Linked DNA regions of Lonchura striata. The protein of the gene in region 2 interacts with the protein of the main gene of each other region in a biochemical or structural test. Links are inferred from orthologs where the notes say so. Each region holds a gene or a part of one and is shown on either strand. Other genes may lie near its edges. The genes, in order: FLOT1 and SORBS1.

Region 1 (8,916 bases), on a different chromosome or scaffold from region 2:
TGGGAGCACTGGGATGAACTGGGGCCACAGGGAGAGCACTGGAAAGTACTGGGAGTACTGGGAATATTGGGGGTGTGACCCAGCTTCCCCCAGGTGTTCCCAGATGTTCCCAATATCCCCAGTGTTCCCAGGTGTGTCCCTAGATGTCCCCAGTGTCACTCACGCGGATCCCGGCATCGCGTTTGGCCTCGGCCTCTCCCACGCGGGCGTCGCGCTGCACCTGCGCCGTGCGGCCCTTCCCAAGGGAGCGCAGGTAATCCTGCACGGGGACACCCCTGTCACACCTGTGGCACCTCCCTGTCACCTGTGTCACCCCTCTGTCACACCCACACCACCTCCATGTCACACCTGTGTCACTCTGTCACCCCCGCACCTGCGCCATATGGCCCTTCCTGAGGGAGGGAGCACAGATAATCCTGCACAGAGACACCTGTGTCACCTCCTTGTCACACCTGTGTCACACCTCTGTCACACCTGTGTCACCCCATCCCCCCCAGACAAATCGCAGGAGTGTCTTAGGTGCCCCAAGTTGTGCCCAGGTGTGTCCCAATGTTGCCATCTTGTCCCTGGGCGTCTTCAAGTGTGTCCCAGGTGTGTCCTGAGTGTGTCTTGGTGGTGCCCCAGCTGTGCTCAGCTATCTCCAGCTGCCCCCCAGGTGTGCCCAGCTCTCCCCAGCTGTCCCCAGCTGCATCTAAGGTGTATCCTGGCTGTCCCCAGCTGTGCCCAGGTGCCCCAGCAATAGCTCAGGTGTCCCCAGCCATGCCCAGGTGTCCCCAGCTGTCCCCAAGCATGCCAGGTGTCACCTGCTCGTCGTGCACATCCTTGAGGGTGTAGCTGACCACGGAGATGCCCATGTTCACCAGGTCGGAGGAGGCCACGCGGAAAACCTGATCCGAGAACTTCTGCCGGTCCTTGTAGATCTCCTGGGCGGGGCCGGGGCGGGGCTTAGTGAGGCGGGGCTCAGATGGGGGCAGGGCCTGGCTGGGCAGGGCCCAAGAGTGGGGTTTAAGCTGGGCAGGGCTCAAGGGAGAGCAGCTCAGTAAGGTGGGGCTCAAGTTGGGCGAGGATTAGCAGGGTGCAGCCCAGAGGGGTGGGGTTTAGCAGGGTGGGGCTCAGTGGGGCAGGGCTAAACAGCTTGAGGCTCAAACTGGGTGGGGTTTAGTGGGGTGGGGCTCAAAGGGGCAGGGACAAAATAAGGTGGGCTTAGCAGAGAAACGGCACGGGGCTGGTGGGCGTGGCTTATCTAAAGGTGCCAGGTGGGCGGGGCTTTTTCCTGGGGGTGTGGCTTGAGCCAAGTGGGCGTGGCTTTGGACAATGGGTGGAGCCAGATCACTGTGGCTTTGTTTGGGGGTGTGGCTTGTACAAAGGTGTGGGATAGGGGGGCGTGGTTTGACCCAGTGGGCATGGCTAGCTACAAAATGGGCATGGCTTGAACCAAGGGGTGGAGCCAGGTGGGCATGGCTTGGGATTGGGGATGTGGCTTGAGTCTTTGGGGCCTGGAATGAGCCAAAGGGGCGTGGCTTGACCCCAGGGTGGAGTGAGGGGAATGGCTCAGTTTAACGGGTGTGGCTTGACCCAAAACGGGCATAGCTGGAGCAAGGAGGTGGTGCGAGTTGGGTGTGGCTTGTGCAAGGGGTGGAGCCATGGGTGTGGTTTGTACTGGGTGGAGCCAGGTGGGCATGGCCCAAACTGAGGGGGGGGTCAGGATTAAGGCAGGGGTGTGGGTTGGCCTGGGGAGTGTGGCTTGAGTCATGGGGTGGGGGCTGGTGGGTGTGGCTGTGAGATGGAGTGGGGTTTATACTGGGACAGAGCCAAGATGGCAGGCGGGACATGACAGGGATGGGGCAGGTGTGGGTGTGGCTTTAAAGGGGGTGGGGCCAGGGAAGGAGATTTGTGAGCAGGTGGGTGGGGCTTTAACAAGAGTGGCATCTTTGGGGTGTGGCTTCACCAGTGGGTGTGGCCTCCTCCAGGGGTGGGGCCTTTCAAGGGGTGGAGCTTATGGGCCAAATGGGGGAGAGGTCTCTTAAAAGGCCACATCCCACCCCAAAGGGAACGGGTGACCTGTCCCTGAGGGGGTGTGTCCATCCAGGTGGGCACGGCCACCTCAGGGGCGTGGCTCCTGAGATCTGGGCCTTCTTAAAAGGGACACATCTCATCCCAAGTGGGGAGTGTTTGGTTGGCTCCCAAGTGGGTGTGGCTGTTCTGGAAGGGGCGTGGCTTCTCCAAAATGGGCATGGCTCCCCCCAGCCCCACCTCCACAGTCATGTGGGCCATGATGGCACGCTGGTGGCCCTCCAGCGTCTCCAGGGCGATCTGGCCGATCTCGCTCTCCGATTTTCCCAGGAACATCTGACAGGCAGCTGCGAGCATCTCCTTGTTCTGCCCCTGGATCTTCACCTGAGGGGGGACTGGGATCACCTGGGGATCCCCCAGCCGCCCCTGGTATCCCCCAAAATTGCCACGGCCCTTTTAAGGTGTAGGTATGGCATTGCCCTTTTAAGAGGCTGGTTGCTTGACGGTGGGGACCACCAGGGCGTGACCATTTTAAGGGGTCTCATCCTCTTGGAGGGGGCTTGGGGGTCCCCACCAACCCCAGCCCATTTTTGGGGGTGTCTTACCCCTCTTAAAGGAGTCCCCACCAACACAAGTCCCTTTATAAGGGAGGTCAAGACCCCCCCCATAGGTTTTTGGGGTCCCCACCACCCCAAGCCTGATCAAGGATTGGACCTTGACCCCTTTAAGAAGGATTTAGGGAGGTTGTCCCATCACAAACTTTTAGTTTTTTAAGGTTTTTTAAAGTGTTTTAAAGGGTGTTTAAAAAGTTTGTAAGGTTTTTAATAGGTTTTTTAAGGGTTTTTTAAGAGTTTTTCCCTTCTCAAAGATTTTTTGGGTTCCACCACTCCAATCCCCTTTTTAAGGAGAATTCCCCCTCCCATCCCAGGGTTTGGGGATCTCCCAAACTTCGAGCTCCTTTCAAGGGATTCCCCACCCCCAAATGCCCTTTTTAGGAGTGTTTTTACCCCTTTAAATGTTTTCGGTGGGCCCCACCACTCCAAACCCCCTTTAAAGGGCTCCTCCCCTTCCCGCCTTTGTTTTGCACCACGATTGCCGCTTTAAGAACACCCTTAGGTGGGCCCCACCACAACCTCCATTAAAAGGGCAACGCCGCCCAGGTTGGTTGGGGCAGGGGAGCCCCGGGGGGGATTTGGGGGTTCCCGGGGAAATCTGGGGGTGCCAGGGCGAATTTGGGGGGTCCTGGAGCATTTCTGGAAGGCTCCAAGGAGATTTCAGGTGCTCAGAGTGTGAGTTTTAGGGTCCCGAGGGGGTTTTCGGGATACCTGTGTGGGATATTTGGGGTTCAGGGGGAGGATTATGGGAGTTCCTAGGGAATTTTGGGGGTCCTGAGAGGAATTCTTGGGGTTCCCAAAGTGACTCTGGGGTTCTGAGTGGATTTTTGGGGGCTCTGAATGAGGTGTTCAGAGTCCCAGTGGCTGTTGGGGACCAGGGAGGACTGGGGTTTCTGAGGGACATTCTGGAGATCCCGGTGGGGATTTTGGGGCATCCTGAATGTATTTTTGGGGGATTTTTGTGGGTCCAGAAGGAGATTTTTGGAGTTTTGATGGGCGATTTTTTAGGGTGTCCAGGAAGGGATTTTTGGGGATTCCAAAGTGGGGACTTTAGGAAGCCAAGGTGGGGATTTTTAGGGTATTTTTGGTAGTCCAGGAGGGGATTTTTGGAGGATTTTTGGCAGTTCCGATAGGGGATTTTGGAGATCCAGGAGAGGATTTTTGGGACGATTTCTGGGATGTTTTTGGGGTATTTTTGGGGGTACTTTGAGGTGGCTTTTGGAGCATTCTGGGGTTACCTGGGCGATGCCGGTGACGGAGATTGGCACCCCGTGGCGGGTGTAAACCTTCTCACTGCGCACGGGCAGCGTCAGCGTGTTCAGGGAGATCCTGGGGGGGCCGGGGGGGTCACCCCAAATCTCGGGGGATCCCCCCTGAACCCCAGAAAACCCCACCAGCCCCTGCTCACCGCTGGATCTGCTGCAGGCAGGGGATCACCAACACCCGGCCCCCGGCCACCATCACCGGGGGGCTGCGGCAGAAACCTGGGGGGCACCGAGAGCTGGGGGGGACCCCAAAACCCCGGGGGGACCCCAAAACCCCGGGGAGGACACGGGGACATCCCCAAGAATCACGGGGAGGGGTCTGGGGGAGACCTCCAGGAATTTTTGGGAGGGGAATTTGGGAGGAAAATTTGGGGGAGGGACCCCAGGAGGCCTGGGGTGGGGGAATGGATTGGGGGAGACCCTCGGGGTGGGGGTTTGGGGGTCCCTGGAGGGGTTGGGGGGGTTGGGAGGGGTCCAAGGAGTCCCCGCGTGGGTTTGGGGGTCCCGGGGGAGTTCCCAGGAATTTTGGGGGAGGGATGCCAGGGGTTCCCTGGAGGGCTTCGAGGGGATTTTGGGGTTTTCCGGGAGTTTTTGGGGTTTCTGGGAGTTCCTGGGAAATTTTGGGGGATTTGGGGGTTCCCAGGAGATTTTGAGGGGGAGGATGCTGGGGGTCCCCAGGAGTGTTTGGGGGGAAATTCGGGGGGTTCCTGGGAGTTTTGGGGGGGTTCCCTGGAGGTTTAGGGAGGATTCTGGGCGTTCCCGGGAGTTTTGGGGGACCCCAGGAGCCCCCGGGCCCCCCGAACTCACCCGACACCACCATGGCCTCGTTGGGGCCGCAGGTGAAGAACATCGCGGCGGGGGAGAGCCGGGGGGCGATGGGACCGATGGGGATCAATCGCTGCCGACCGTGATCGCTGGGAGCGATGGGATCGATCGGGATCGATCACGACCTACGTCCACCGCCCCTGTCCCGGCAGCCCCCGCGCTCGCTACTTCCGCGTTAGCGCGGTGACGTCACCGAACGCGCGGTTTCCCATTGGCTGCCGTGCCAACGGCGGGAAGGAGAGATCTGTTCTGCCTGGCAACTTGTGACGTCACTGATTCCCCGGCGCTCCATTGGCTGCGCCCTGCTCAGATTGCCGTATTACCCATGGAAATGAACAATTTCAGTTCGGGATGAACCTGAGGTGAGGGCAGTGACGGGGTCCGGGGAGCTCCAGACCATGGCCGGCTCCTGGTCAGCTCCTGGTCAGTTCATGGTCAGCTCATGGTCACCCCATGGCCATAACCGCATTACGGTCATCTCACAGCCATGGAGGTGTCATGGTCATCTCATGGTCTTGATCACCACATAGCCACAGTGTGCTGTGGTCATCTCACGGTCACCTCTTGGTCAAGATCCTGTCATGGCCACAGTCATGGTCATCTCAAGGCCTTCATCATTTCATGGCCATGGTGGTGTCATGTTCATCCTGTGGTCGTCTCATTGTCCCGATCATCTTATGGTCATCTCATTCTCATGTCATTGTCGCTTCATTGTCACCTCATGGCCACCATCACATCAGGGCCACCTCAAGGCCATGGTTGTGCCATGGCCAACCCATGGTCATCTCTTGGTCCAAATCATCTTGGTCAGCGTTGTGGTTGTGTCATGGCCATGGCCATCCATGGTCATCTCAGGGTTGTGTCGCTCATGGTCACTCTCACAGCCATCTCGTGCTCGTGTCATGGCCGTGGTCATGGCCAGGGAACCTCTCTGAGATCCCGAGCCCAGATTTTGGGACACTCAAGGACCACTGGGGACAGCGAGGCCTGGTCTGACCCCTCCCCCCATCCCACTGTCCCTCCAAGAACCCAACATGGCCAAACCCTCCTGGGGACACCTCAGACATTGGGCATGGAGCAGGAAATGAATGCCAGGAGAAGGACTCAGGCATAGCTGGCAAGTCCCCATCCCAGTCATGATGTCCCCATTCCCACTCCTGGTGTCCCCATCCCGCTCCTGGTGTCACTAACCCGCTCCTGGTGTCCCTATCCCACTCCTGGTGTCCCTATCCCAGTCCTGGTGTCCCCATCCCAGTCCTGGTGTCCCCATTCCCACTCCTGGTGTCGCCATCCCACTCCTGGTGTCCCCATCCCAGTCATGATGTCCCCATTCCCACTCCTGGTGTCCCCATTCCCACTCCTGGTGTCCCCATCCCAGTCATGATGTCCCCATTCCCACTCCTGGTGTCCCCATTCCCACTCCTGGTGTCCCTAACCCACTCCTGGTGTCCCCATTCCCATTCCTGGTGTCCCCATCCTGCTCCTGATGCCCCCATCCCTGTTCCCATTCCTCCCAATCCTATTCCTGCGTCCCAGAGAGGAAAAGCTGGACACGAGAGGAGGGAACATGGATTTATTGTCCCAAGCAGGATTTATTGCCCCAAACAGGATTTATTGCCCCAAGCAGGATTTATTGCCCCAAACAGGATTTATTGCCCCAAACTGGATTTATTGCCCAAAGCGGGATAATTTCTACCAGAACTGAACCACTGGGAATATTTGTGGTTCTTCCCTCTAAAAGACTGCGAAATAGAAAACAGCAAATTGATCAGTTAGCAAGAGTTGTGGGGTGGGTGGGAGCAGCGGGATGAGCTCTGCTGGCAACTCTCAGCTTTCCTGGGAAGAGGGAAGAGGCTGGATGCAGCTCCATGGATCGCTCAGGCGGTGATTCCTGTCAGGATGAGAGAGGATCACAGTGTCACCCTGTCCCTGTCCCCATTCCACAGGACAGATGTGGCTGGAGCCCATGGGGAGCGGGACCTGCTCCAGAATCCCACCTGATCCCACCTCAATCCTGCTCCATGCATCCCATCCCATCCCATCCCATCCTGCCCTGATCCTGCTCCATCCACCCCACCCAATCCTGCACTGGAATCTCTCCCTGATCCCACTCCATCATTCCTGCCCCAATCCTGCTCCATCCATCACAAATTATCCCACTCCAGAACCCAGCCCCAATTCCACTCTACAATTCCCCCTGATCCCACTCTGGACCCCTGCTCTGATCCAGAATTCTTCCCTGATCCCAGTCCATCCATCCTGCCCTGATCCCCCTCGAATCCCACCCTGATCCTGCTCTGTACCTGCAGCTGAGCCATTAATTCCCACATCCTTTCCTGCAGAAAGAGAAGATCCATGAGATTCCAGCATGGATCACACACTGGGATTAACCCCAGGATCCATCCTGGGATCCACACAGAGGGGACCCAGAGCTGGATCCGCCACTGGAACTCACCGGCTGCCACGTTGTATCCACTCCTGTCCCTCTTCCCTGTGGAAACAAAGTGGGATCAGCGTCGGTGGCACAGGATTCCCAGAACAGTGTGGCTGGATCCGTGCCCCTTCCCAACCCCCATCCCATGTGTTACCGGATTGGAGCTTCCAGACACCGACTGCAATGAGGACAACAAGGATGGCAGCGATGATGGACACAGCGACCGCCACGGTGAGAATGCTGCCAGACTTCGGCTCTGGGAAACGTGGGATAGTGAGGACGGGAATCCCCATTTGGGAATTCCAAATTCCCAATTCCCACATTCCCAGCCTCACCCCAAGCGAAGATCCCGGGCTCCAGCATTCCGGGATGCTCCACCCTGCACCGGTACAGCTCCCGCTCCTCCGGCAGCGCCTCAATCCTGGCCCAGGTGTGGAAGGTGCCGTCGCTGTTGGGAACGATCCCGCCCCACTCCGTCTCCTGATTCAAGGTTGTATTCTCCTTCATCCAGCTGACTGCAATGGTGTTGGGGTAGAATCCGTACGCGTGGCAGGACAGGATCAGCGTCCCATGTTCCTCTTTTCCGGACACGTGGACATCAGGGGGCTCTGGAATGGGATAATTACGGAATTCATGCACGGAATTCCACGGGAATGGCATTGGGGTGAGCTCTGCCCATGGAATTCCCATTAGAATGGGACTAGGGTGAGCTGTACCCATGGAATTCCCAGTGGAATGGGATGAGAGTGAAATCTGACCATGGATTTCCATGGGAATGGGATGGGGGTGAGATCTACCCTTGGAATTCCACAGGAATTACCGTGTTCCCAAGTTCTCCATTCCCAAATCCCCGCAGGAATTCTGCTCCCACCTTTGCGCTCCAGCTCCTTCTGCCCGTATCCAACGTATTTCCGGAGCCATTCCGGGCAGACGTGCTTCAGGTAATTCGTCCACCTCTCAGCCTCCTCCTCCTGCTCCCAGCGTCTCCTGGTGATCTCGGCAGCGCTGTCGGCCGCCACGAATCCCCCGGATCCCAGGTCAAAGGAGATGAAATCCCGCCCGTCGTAGCCATCCTTGTAGGATCCATGGACAGTCCCGTCAGACAGGAGGTCACAGCCATAAACATGCAGCCGTGTGTGGAGACCTGGGGGGATTGTACCCACAGAGACCCATGGAATTGTGTCCCGGCCACACAGAGCCCCATCCCAGCCCTATGGAGCCCCCGAGTCTGATGGAGACCCACAGAGCCTCATTCCAGCCCCCTGGATCCCCATGGATCCACATCCCAACCCCACGGATCCCATCCCAGCCCTACAGATCCTATCCCAGCCCCACGGATCCCATCCCAGCCCCACAGATCCTCATCCCAACACCATGGATCCCATCCCAGCCCCACAGATCCCATCTCTAGCCCCATGGATCCACATCCCAGCCCCATAGATCCTATCCCAACAACACGGATCCCATCCCAGCCCCACAGATCCACATCCCAACCCCATGGATCCCATCCCAGCCCCACAGATCCACATCCCAACCCTATGGATCCCATCCCAGCCCCACAGATCCCATCTCTTGCCCCATGGATCCACATCCCAGCCCCATAGATCCTATCCCAGCCCCACGGATCCATCCCAGCCCCACAGATCCACATCCCAACCCCATGATCCACATCCCAACCCCATGGATCCCATCCCAGACCCACAGATCCCATCTCTAGCCCCATGGATCCACATCCCAGCCCCAGAGATCCACATCCCAGCCCCAC
Region 2 (8,838 bases):
ATCCTGTGAAGACTCTTAAGGTGTACATCACCCAGCAGAATGGGCACAAAAGGAGACAGTCAAATGCTGCAAGAAGTCAAAAGAAAGTTCAAAGCTGCACAAGGCAGGCAAACTGCATGCACTAGTACGGGACGCAAACATGGTTTCAGTTGTCATGCTGCTGGCAGGGAGTGAGTCATCACTCCTCCCTCAAGTTTAGTATTGCAAGGAGAAAGTAATTTTAATCCAGGAATACAAATTTAGGAAAAGGGCGAGGAGGGTACTTGGCAAGCTTACTGTATGTGAGATGACTCCAGTGATTTCAGGCTTCAAGCCCCTGTGCAAAGCCCCCGTGACTGGAGGGACAAGTGAAGGTGGTGATGAGAAGAATGGCAGTTTCGGGTAAACAGAGGGTAATGTGCCAGATGTGGAGGGTGCTTGGTTATGGTGGGATCCCCTCTGGAGATGTGGGGGAATAAAATCGTCTAGAGTTGGAAAAGTCAAGGGTGAGCCAGGAGAAACAATCTCAGGGAATACGGAGCCTTGCCCGAAAGGAACCAGAGGCGGTGGTGGAGTGCTGGAGCTGCCTTCTTGTTGTCTGTCTGGATTAACCTGAAGGAGGGGGACTACTATAACTCCAGGCTGAGCTGAGGTGGTGGCAGTGGCATCCTGTTGGAAACAAGGTGTTGTTATGCATTGGGGGAGATTGTTACTTTAGTCTAATGCAGCCATATCGTGTCATGCAAGGAATGTACCCAAAATGATACAAAGCCCCAGAAGATCTTCTTTCCTTCAGGAGACATACTTCTTCAGGTTTATAGCCCTGGCCTCTATGAACACAACGTTTTTCCACAAAAATATTTATTCCCCCTCACCACCCCTCTTCTCCAGTTCTGTGTAGCGAGGCTAAATCAAACAAAGAACAGCTCAGCATCCACCATGACTTGAGAAGCTCTAGCCATTATACATTACAGAGCTTGTTTCTTTTACATGTCCCTAAAATAGAAAGATCCTCACCAGACCAACCCAACTCCCTACAAACACCACACACACATACACGAACACACAGATCAACACTGAGGGGACATATATGGGGTGTTAAATATTATCAAGTAAAAGACCACAAGACTCAGGGCAGCACAACAGGTGCTGAGAAATTAAGGTAGGAGGGGAATAAAGCATTAAGGGAACATTGTAACGAATTAAAGAACTGTTCGCTCAGCTGCAAGAAAACAAGGTTATGGAGAAAACATGTACCATGCTGCGTCCCATTGCCTTGTATGGTGGCTGTCGCTGCTGAGTAAGGTAAGGCTCTTTTCTCATCCTGTCCTCTGTGGCAGCTGTGCTCTGGGGCTCTAGCACTCTGTCCCTCACAGCTTGCGGAGCTGATGACTGAGTCCGGGAGGGCTGGCCAGCACCATAACTAACTGCGTCTTTGCTGAGAACAATGTAAAAGTACGGCCTGGGAGGAATAGGAGGAGGAGGAGCAGCAGGAAGAGACTTTTCAGTGTCTGTTACAGAGGGAACAATGTTGGTGGCCGGTGCCTGAGTGAGCTCAGCACCCAAACTGGTGCTGGCTGCTGGGTCATGTGTGGTGCCAGTGGAATTTTGAGATGCGCCTGAGCAAGTGCTGTTAGATAAACAAGCTACATATAGTTTGCTGACCTTTTTATCCGCCTTCGTCTCATGACTGGAATTCATTCCAGCCTTACTACTGGGATCTGCCCTGACAGGGTTGCGTTGTATGGATGATGCACCCGATGAGGAGTGACTTTCCAAGAGTGGCTGCCCAGCATGCATCTCATCTTTGGGGCCTGAAGAGGCAGAACGCCCTGCTGGCAAGCCTTGCTTCCCACTGGGGACAGCCCCGTAGGGGGTAGGTGATGACAAATAACAGCGTGCACTGGTGTTTGGTGATGCACGCTGTGTGTAAGGCTTGGGTGCATTCAGGTACACGCAGTCCATGATGGGCACTGGCAACAGGTTGGTCACTTTAGTGTCAGTGCGAGGACGCCATGCAAAGCTTTCCTCTTTGGGAAGAGGAGGACGGGGAGGAGCAAGGGCCTGATCAGGCAGAGTCAAGAAGGTAGGAAGGAGAAAGGAAGCAGCATCAAATGAAAGGAAAAGGAAGGAAAAAAATTAAATTTTCAGAACGAATTTGATCATTAGACTTGGGTTAAGCAGGTTTTAATACAGCAAGAATAAAAAGCAAATACAGTATCTGGAAGGCCAGTGCAGAACTCACTCATATCCATCGTCCCACACATTCTTTCTTAGCACAGCCCACTGCAGCACACAAACTTAACCCAGCCCTCAAGTCCCTGCCTACGTGTTTCTCTCTCTGTGCTCAATAATTCTCACTACTGTGTTTTTTCAAGAGGCCTGCACAGCAACACTCACCATGCCACTGGGAAAGCCTCAGTCAAGATATAACATCATGGCTAACTAAATTCAGTCTCATGCTTGCATAACTAAACACTTCCCAGCACTGGGGACATTTGAACTGCAAAGCCAAATTCAGAGTTCTAGGCCATCTCTGCATGTTAAGTGCACTGCTGAAAAATGAATATTGCCAAGTTTCAGTAATGCTAATGAAAGCAGACATCAAGTGAGTGCAGTAGCCTACTACAGCTGGCTAAGTAAAAAAGTGAGCATTTCTTCATTATAAAGGCCAGTTCTTTAATTCTCTTTAGGATTTTTCCATCCTGAAAATGCTTTCAGGCAGACCAGAAAAATTAAAAGTTTCTTGAGGAACTGAGATCATCAGAATTTGCCTCCAGAATCAACATTGTCAAGAGAGAAATCCTGCTTCTAGTAAACAATAAGAAAAGCTTTACTGGTTTTGGTATTTGGCAACATATAGCTTGCTAACTCCAAATCACCTACCTACTGCATCTCCAATTACAGTGAATTTTTTATGAAAGCCAAACTGTTTTGAGACAAAATAACAGTACAGAGTTTTCAATTTAGTTATTGCTTTTTTTGCCAGTAGCTGAAAACAAAGATCTACTGGAAAGAAAAGAATACCCACCTGGTGAACAACAGCTCCTTGGATTTTTGCAAATTAACCATTTGGAGACTGTGAAAGTAGGTTTTACAAACACCCTGTTGACATACCTTTATGGGCAAAGGCTACCTATACCACTGCTAAAAATGTCCAAACCAGAGAATGAAGATGCCTTAACAGCTTGCAACATTCAAATCTGGAAAGGTATGTCCTTTAAAAATCATCCATATATGACAAGTTGTGGCAAGTACCTATTCTTGTTATATGGATATAGATGTAGAAAAATTTAATAAAATTACAGCTGCTGTTCCAAATTCTGCTGTCCTCATGCTGCCCCTCTGCCCCTCTCACCCTTTCCCTGAAGCATAAGGGAGTGAAGAAGTGGATTGCTTAGTGCTGTTCTGAAGGGCTTCTGCCTCTGAACAGGTTCATTCCTTTTGGAATTTCTTCCATTTCAGCTCAGTTTGACCAGTAGTTCTTGAGACTTCTGTAACAAGTATTATGTATGCCAGTACTCACTCTGTTCATCAACAAGATCAGGAAAGGACTACAGGACAGCTCTAAGTATTGAGCAGAAATGTGTCTCTCTTTAGGGTGCTGCTCCTTCATTTGAGCTGTTCCTTCTTCCACTTTCACTTATGGTACCTGGTCTGTAGCATTATTAAAGGGACCCTGATGATGGGAGCAGTCACACTGATATGGGACTGGGCTTTAAAGTGACTATGCTTCACACAAGAATCCAGATTCTAATGTAGGGTTTTCTTACCAGCTTCTAGACTGCTTCTGTGCAGACTGAGCACCCAAAAAAAACCCCAAAACAAACAAAAAAAACCCCACCAAAAATAAACAACAAAAAAAAAAACCACCAAAAAAAAAAAAACCACAACCAAAAAAAAAAAAAAAAAAAACCAAAAAAAAACAAAGATGACATTGCATGCATACAATGTCAGTCTGCATTCTTTCAGCAGATTGGCTTCAACAATTTACCTTCAGATAGAAATAATCTTTCCCTTGTTGGCTTCTATCAGTTGCAGCTTTAAAACTGAAAGGCATTTCCCCAATATTTTATTTTTAATGTAGGGTGCAACTCTGATTTCAGCCTGCAGCAACTTCTAGGAAATAAACCAGCATAAAATACAAAATAATTACAGATTATTACTTCACCTTTTTTCTTGCAAATAGCGTTGTCCTCCTCCTTTATTCACCGAGGAAACACTGTGGTGTGCCTGGATACATGAGCTCCACAACACTTTGCTGACATCGGTGTTGTCCCCATTTTAAAGGCATAAAAAGCTGAGGCACAGCAACTTACCCATCTGCAGTCAAGTTTGGAGTTCAACCCAGGACTCCTGATCATGAATTCAGTGCTTGCACCCAGATGATCACCTCAGGGTCACAGAAAAAAGGCTTACCTGTGGCTTGCTGTCTGAAGAAAGGTTTGGACGCACACTCCTATAACCCTTGGCAGCCAGAGAAGATGGCTGGGCATCCCCATTGGCATCAGTGTTAGACGATGACCTCCAATCATCTGCGAGGGGAAAGAAAATTCAGATCACAGATTCCCTCCCGTAGCAGGATAAGTGAAAGGAGGGGACTCTTTTCTTCTCTTCCCCGCCACTTTCTTTTTTTTCCCCCCCAGGCAACAAGAAATAATTCCAATAAAGCAACAGAAGTAACAACAGAAGCAGCCAATGTTTATACCTGTTTCTGGGTTTTCTGGCTCCAGACCTAAGTGTTTCACAGAAAGGAGGGACAGAGGAGGTGGGGGTGGAGGATAGACATAGAAGAAAAGAAAGAGGGGAAAAAATAAACCATTACATTTCCAGAAAACATGTACCAATTGAAGTCAAGAGTCAAGCTACTTCATTTCACACATAAATGCTTTCTGACAGGGCTGCGTAATTACCATAGAGACCAGCCCTAAACATGATGTCCTCCTTGTTTCTGACCTTTGTAAACACAAGGCAATTCATTCAGAGCAATGAAGAAACAATTGTTCATTGACATTCTTACTTCAGAGGCAAAAAGGCTGCCCAGCTAGCTACTTTCTAAAGCTGCAGCTTGACATCCAGACACCACAAATTACTGGAAATTTAGGAACCCTGTATACAGATTATGAAGACATAGCTATCCTTAACAGTATTGTTATATGTGATTGAGATAAAGGATTACCAACAAACAGATCAAATTTTGCAGACTAAGTGCATGAAGGGTGTAATAAGATACAACATCACTTTATAGGCCAGTCCCTGCAGCTACCTACAGTGGTCTCATCACATATTTACCTGCTTCCCACTGGGCTCCTCCCACCCTGTACCCATTTTGCTTTTTAAGTTATATACATGAAGCTCTTCCAGCTCCAAAGTACATTTCATAAAGCGATTGAGAGAATAAGCAAAAGAAGTATTAATGAACTGATTTCTATAGTAATGGACCCATTGCTATTCAGGCTGTTGGGAATTTATGAAGTCATCAACAGAAAGGAGAGAGGCAACAGCAGGGGGTAGGAGTGAAGAAACAGAGAAAGGCAAGCATAAAAAGAGGGTAGGTCATGGGTGGAGCAGAACAGGAGTATGAGAGTAGAAAGTGGCACATTAGGGCTAGGATTAATGGATTTGCCCTTTCTCCAACAATACAATCAGAAATGATGTATGCTTTGCTTTCAAGAGCACATTTTACACCCTCCCCCTTAATGGCGTCTTGCCTTTGGGAGTTCACCTCTTTGCCAGACCCACGACACTGGCCAGGTTTGCTGTGCTTTGCCTGTCTTCTACAATTAAGTAATTACACGTCTGCTACTGAAAGACAGCAGAGCTCTGTGGCGACGCTGTCTGCCTGGGAGGACTCTATGCCAGCTTCCCTGGCAACCCAGCTGAATGCTGCAGTGGCAGTAGCACCACTCAGCTTCTTTCTGTTCCACCTCATGCCTGGGGTAAAAAGTGATTACACAGGCTGCCCTGGGGGCAGTGGGGGCGGTAGGGGAAGAAAGAAAAGAACAAAGTTTTTGGTGCTGCTGACAAACTTTAGTCAATGACTGAGCGGTCATGAAACCTGCACTAGGAGTCAGTGTCTCTACTGGTGTGGTCCTTGCAAGAGGTTTCCAACTATGCTATGGAATTCTGGGCTTTAAAGCAAAATTATAAAGCAAGCCCAAGATCCTGGACTAACCTGTCTTGAGGTTACTATGAATAACAGATGCCAGTTAACCTTCCACCACTTACTTTCAGGTTGCTCAGCATCCTGAGGACATGGTGAAGTGATATTCCGATTCCCTTCATAGGATGGAGTTGCCCGGAGAGTTACAGCTCCTTTTCCACTGCAGACTTTTGTGGGATCCATTTCTACAGGAAATGCACATGCACAGAAGAAACACATAGAAAGGGATGATGCAAAGCTATCAGGAGCCATCAGAGCTCTAGAGTAATGTTAGCATGGTTGTCTCCAGGTGAATCAATCTAGTAATGTTTGTGCAGATGAAGATTAGCTCTGTATTTATAGCATTGAGAAATCAAAGCAGTTTTATATTCATGTAATCGATGAATGTAGCAGTTAAGTTCTGAGTTGGTGCAAAGGAGGGAAGAAAAAGGAGTGTTTGAACCAAAGGTCACAGGTCCATTTGCTTTATTTGTTCTACTTTGTACAGAGATACTGTGCTAGAAAGGACAGTCTTCCATTACACCTACAGCTCTTTTATAGGTATGTGACAGTGTTATAATGCACACACTTTGTGTGCCAAAGCTTAAAAATGCCTTTTGTGGAGGACTGAAAGAGGAAAAAAAAAAACTTTTGACCACTGGAAAATAAAATCTTGTAACAATGCTGAATATGATCAAAAGGCAAGGCACTGCAAGTCACCTCCCTGCCATCTCCCCACTTCATTGCAGTGTTTCACCTTCTGACACAGGAACCCAAATCCTATAAAGAAGGAAATTTCACACATGCCTATTCAGATCAACCTGTGATCATGATCAGATAACAGATCATGCCAGCATCCTTGCTGAGGCACAGTTCAGCACAGCTTCTGTGCAGGCTTACCTTTGTGTATTTCAGTCCATGATATGGGTTTTCTCCTCCTGTCATCCTATTAAGTAATAACAAACCAGTACTTCAAAACTACCTCTCTTTCTCCTCCTACTTAAAAATCTTTCTGGAGAGTTGTTTCCTTTAAGATACTTCTGGAAATAATAAGCCTGAAAAGTTTCTTGTTTCTCTAGGCTATTTCCATACACAAACACATCACCTCCTCTTCTCATGCACTATTAGTGACCTGCAGCTACCATCAGACCTCACTTACCTACACAGAGGTACCAGCCCTACCGTGACTGCACAGGGAGAGTGAAAGGTACTGAGCACATGCTGCACTACACAAGTGACAACACAATAATTTTTATTTTTATGGGTGGAGGATCATGCTGTCTCTGCATGGGGACAGATGCAGCTCTTCCCCAGGAACTGCTATTATAACAAAAAATGATGCTTTCAGAATGGACAGAGGGGACAAAAGCTGTTGTTTATTGTCCAGGCAACTGCCCACATTTTTACAGATCAGTATTCCCTGTCAGATTTCAGCAAGGCAATGCCCCACCAAACCCACAGTAGTACAGTGCCTAGAGACCATAGTAACACCTTGGCTGATGTTGCAAACCATGCAAACTACAGCCAGTGTGGTCACAATATGGGGAAACATCAATATGTTAGATGGACAATGGCAGTAAGAGAAGAAACTCAATGAATGTCAAACCCCTGTCTCTTCCTGAAAGCCCTCTGTGCTGGCATCTCCACTGTTGAAACCCTTACATGGGTTTCCAATGCTTTAGGGATTTCACAAAAAGCATCATTTTAGATCCATACTTAAGACTATAAAAAAGATGGAGTAAGCAAGAAATCAGAGCTTACTTTCCTATAGTTCAGCCCTTAGCTAACTGAGGCAGCATTGAGGCAGCCTCTGTGAGGAGAAAGACTATCCACCCAGACATATCAAAAGGTGTTTCATCCTTAAATATACCACAGCTGGTCACAACTCAAGGTCACCCACATCCCTGGTGAAATAGAAGTTGACTTCTCTGACTGATTTTTGCACGATTCAGGAAGGGTCAAGATTCCTTTTGCCCAAGAGTGCATTTCTGGCTATCATTCCCATCCACATGGCACAACACAGAGCCCAAGGACTCTATGGACTCACTTTCAAACCACAGGACAAAGATGTAAGCTCCAAGACCCCAGTTTTAAGACTGCTGTAACAGTAAAGCATGGACACAATGTTGGGAGTCACTAGGCCTGATATAAACATCCACAGAGAGTGCAGAGTAGCTGTCTTCCTACAACCCTATGCCTACATTTGCTTCACAGGCACTGGAGAGAAATGGAAACAGAGCTCAACATGTATGACACGTCAAAACAGTATCTTCATCATATTGGAGGAGAATCAAATTTGGGAATGAATTCTTTTTTTTTTTTTCCATACAACAGATTAAACCCGTATATTAAATCAAAAGAATAAGGGTCAGGAAAAAAAAATGCTCTGAATAAAAAAAAAAAAAAATAAAATGCTTTGAAAATATTTGAAAATAAAATCTTGCCAGACTATCTCACCTTGGGAGATGAAAATCAATGTCTGGAATGATGTATTGCTTCACAAATTACAGAAAACAAGAATCTGAATCTCTCAGTATAGAAATCTAGCAGCTAGTAATAAACAGGACACTAGCACTGTACAAGTCCAACAAAGCACATGTGTGACAGATTAGGACAGACAAGCAGTATCAGCTACACTAGTCTGACTGTCCAGCAAACTACAAGCATAATCTTGAACTTCTAGTGGGAAGGCATGTGCCTGGGGAAAGGGTGACAGC

The links.
Region 1: the proteins of SORBS1 (region 2) and FLOT1 form a complex in vitro, tested with the Homo sapiens proteins (2 studies listed by BioGRID). The link is inferred for Lonchura striata from reciprocal best matches to the Homo sapiens genes SORBS1 and FLOT1.

What each region holds. Positions count from the first base shown.
Region 1 is NC_134631.1:1,365,616-1,374,531, forward strand, and holds the start of FLOT1 (flotillin-1), read right to left. Parts: upstream 4,865-8,916; 5' UTR 4,743-4,864; coding exon 4,700-4,742; intron 4,112-4,699; coding exon 4,036-4,111; intron 3,957-4,035; coding exon 3,866-3,956; intron 2,398-3,865; coding exon 2,254-2,397; intron 924-2,253; coding exon 804-923; intron 260-803; coding exon 164-259; intron 1-163. Other genes in the region: class I histocompatibility antigen, F10 alpha chain, read right to left, coding at 6,595-6,608, 7,021-7,053, 7,173-7,208, 7,306-7,407, 7,487-7,759, 8,023-8,295. UniProt on the Homo sapiens protein: May act as a scaffolding protein within caveolar membranes, functionally participating in formation of caveolae or caveolae-like vesicles.
Region 2 is NC_134609.1:12,968,102-12,976,939, reverse strand, and holds the start of SORBS1 (sorbin and SH3 domain-containing protein 1), read right to left. Parts: upstream 3,816-8,838; 5' UTR 1,945-3,815; coding exon 1,237-1,944; intron 649-1,236; coding exon 277-648; intron 1-276. UniProt on the Homo sapiens protein: Plays a role in tyrosine phosphorylation of CBL by linking CBL to the insulin receptor. Required for insulin-stimulated glucose transport. Involved in formation of actin stress fibers and focal adhesions.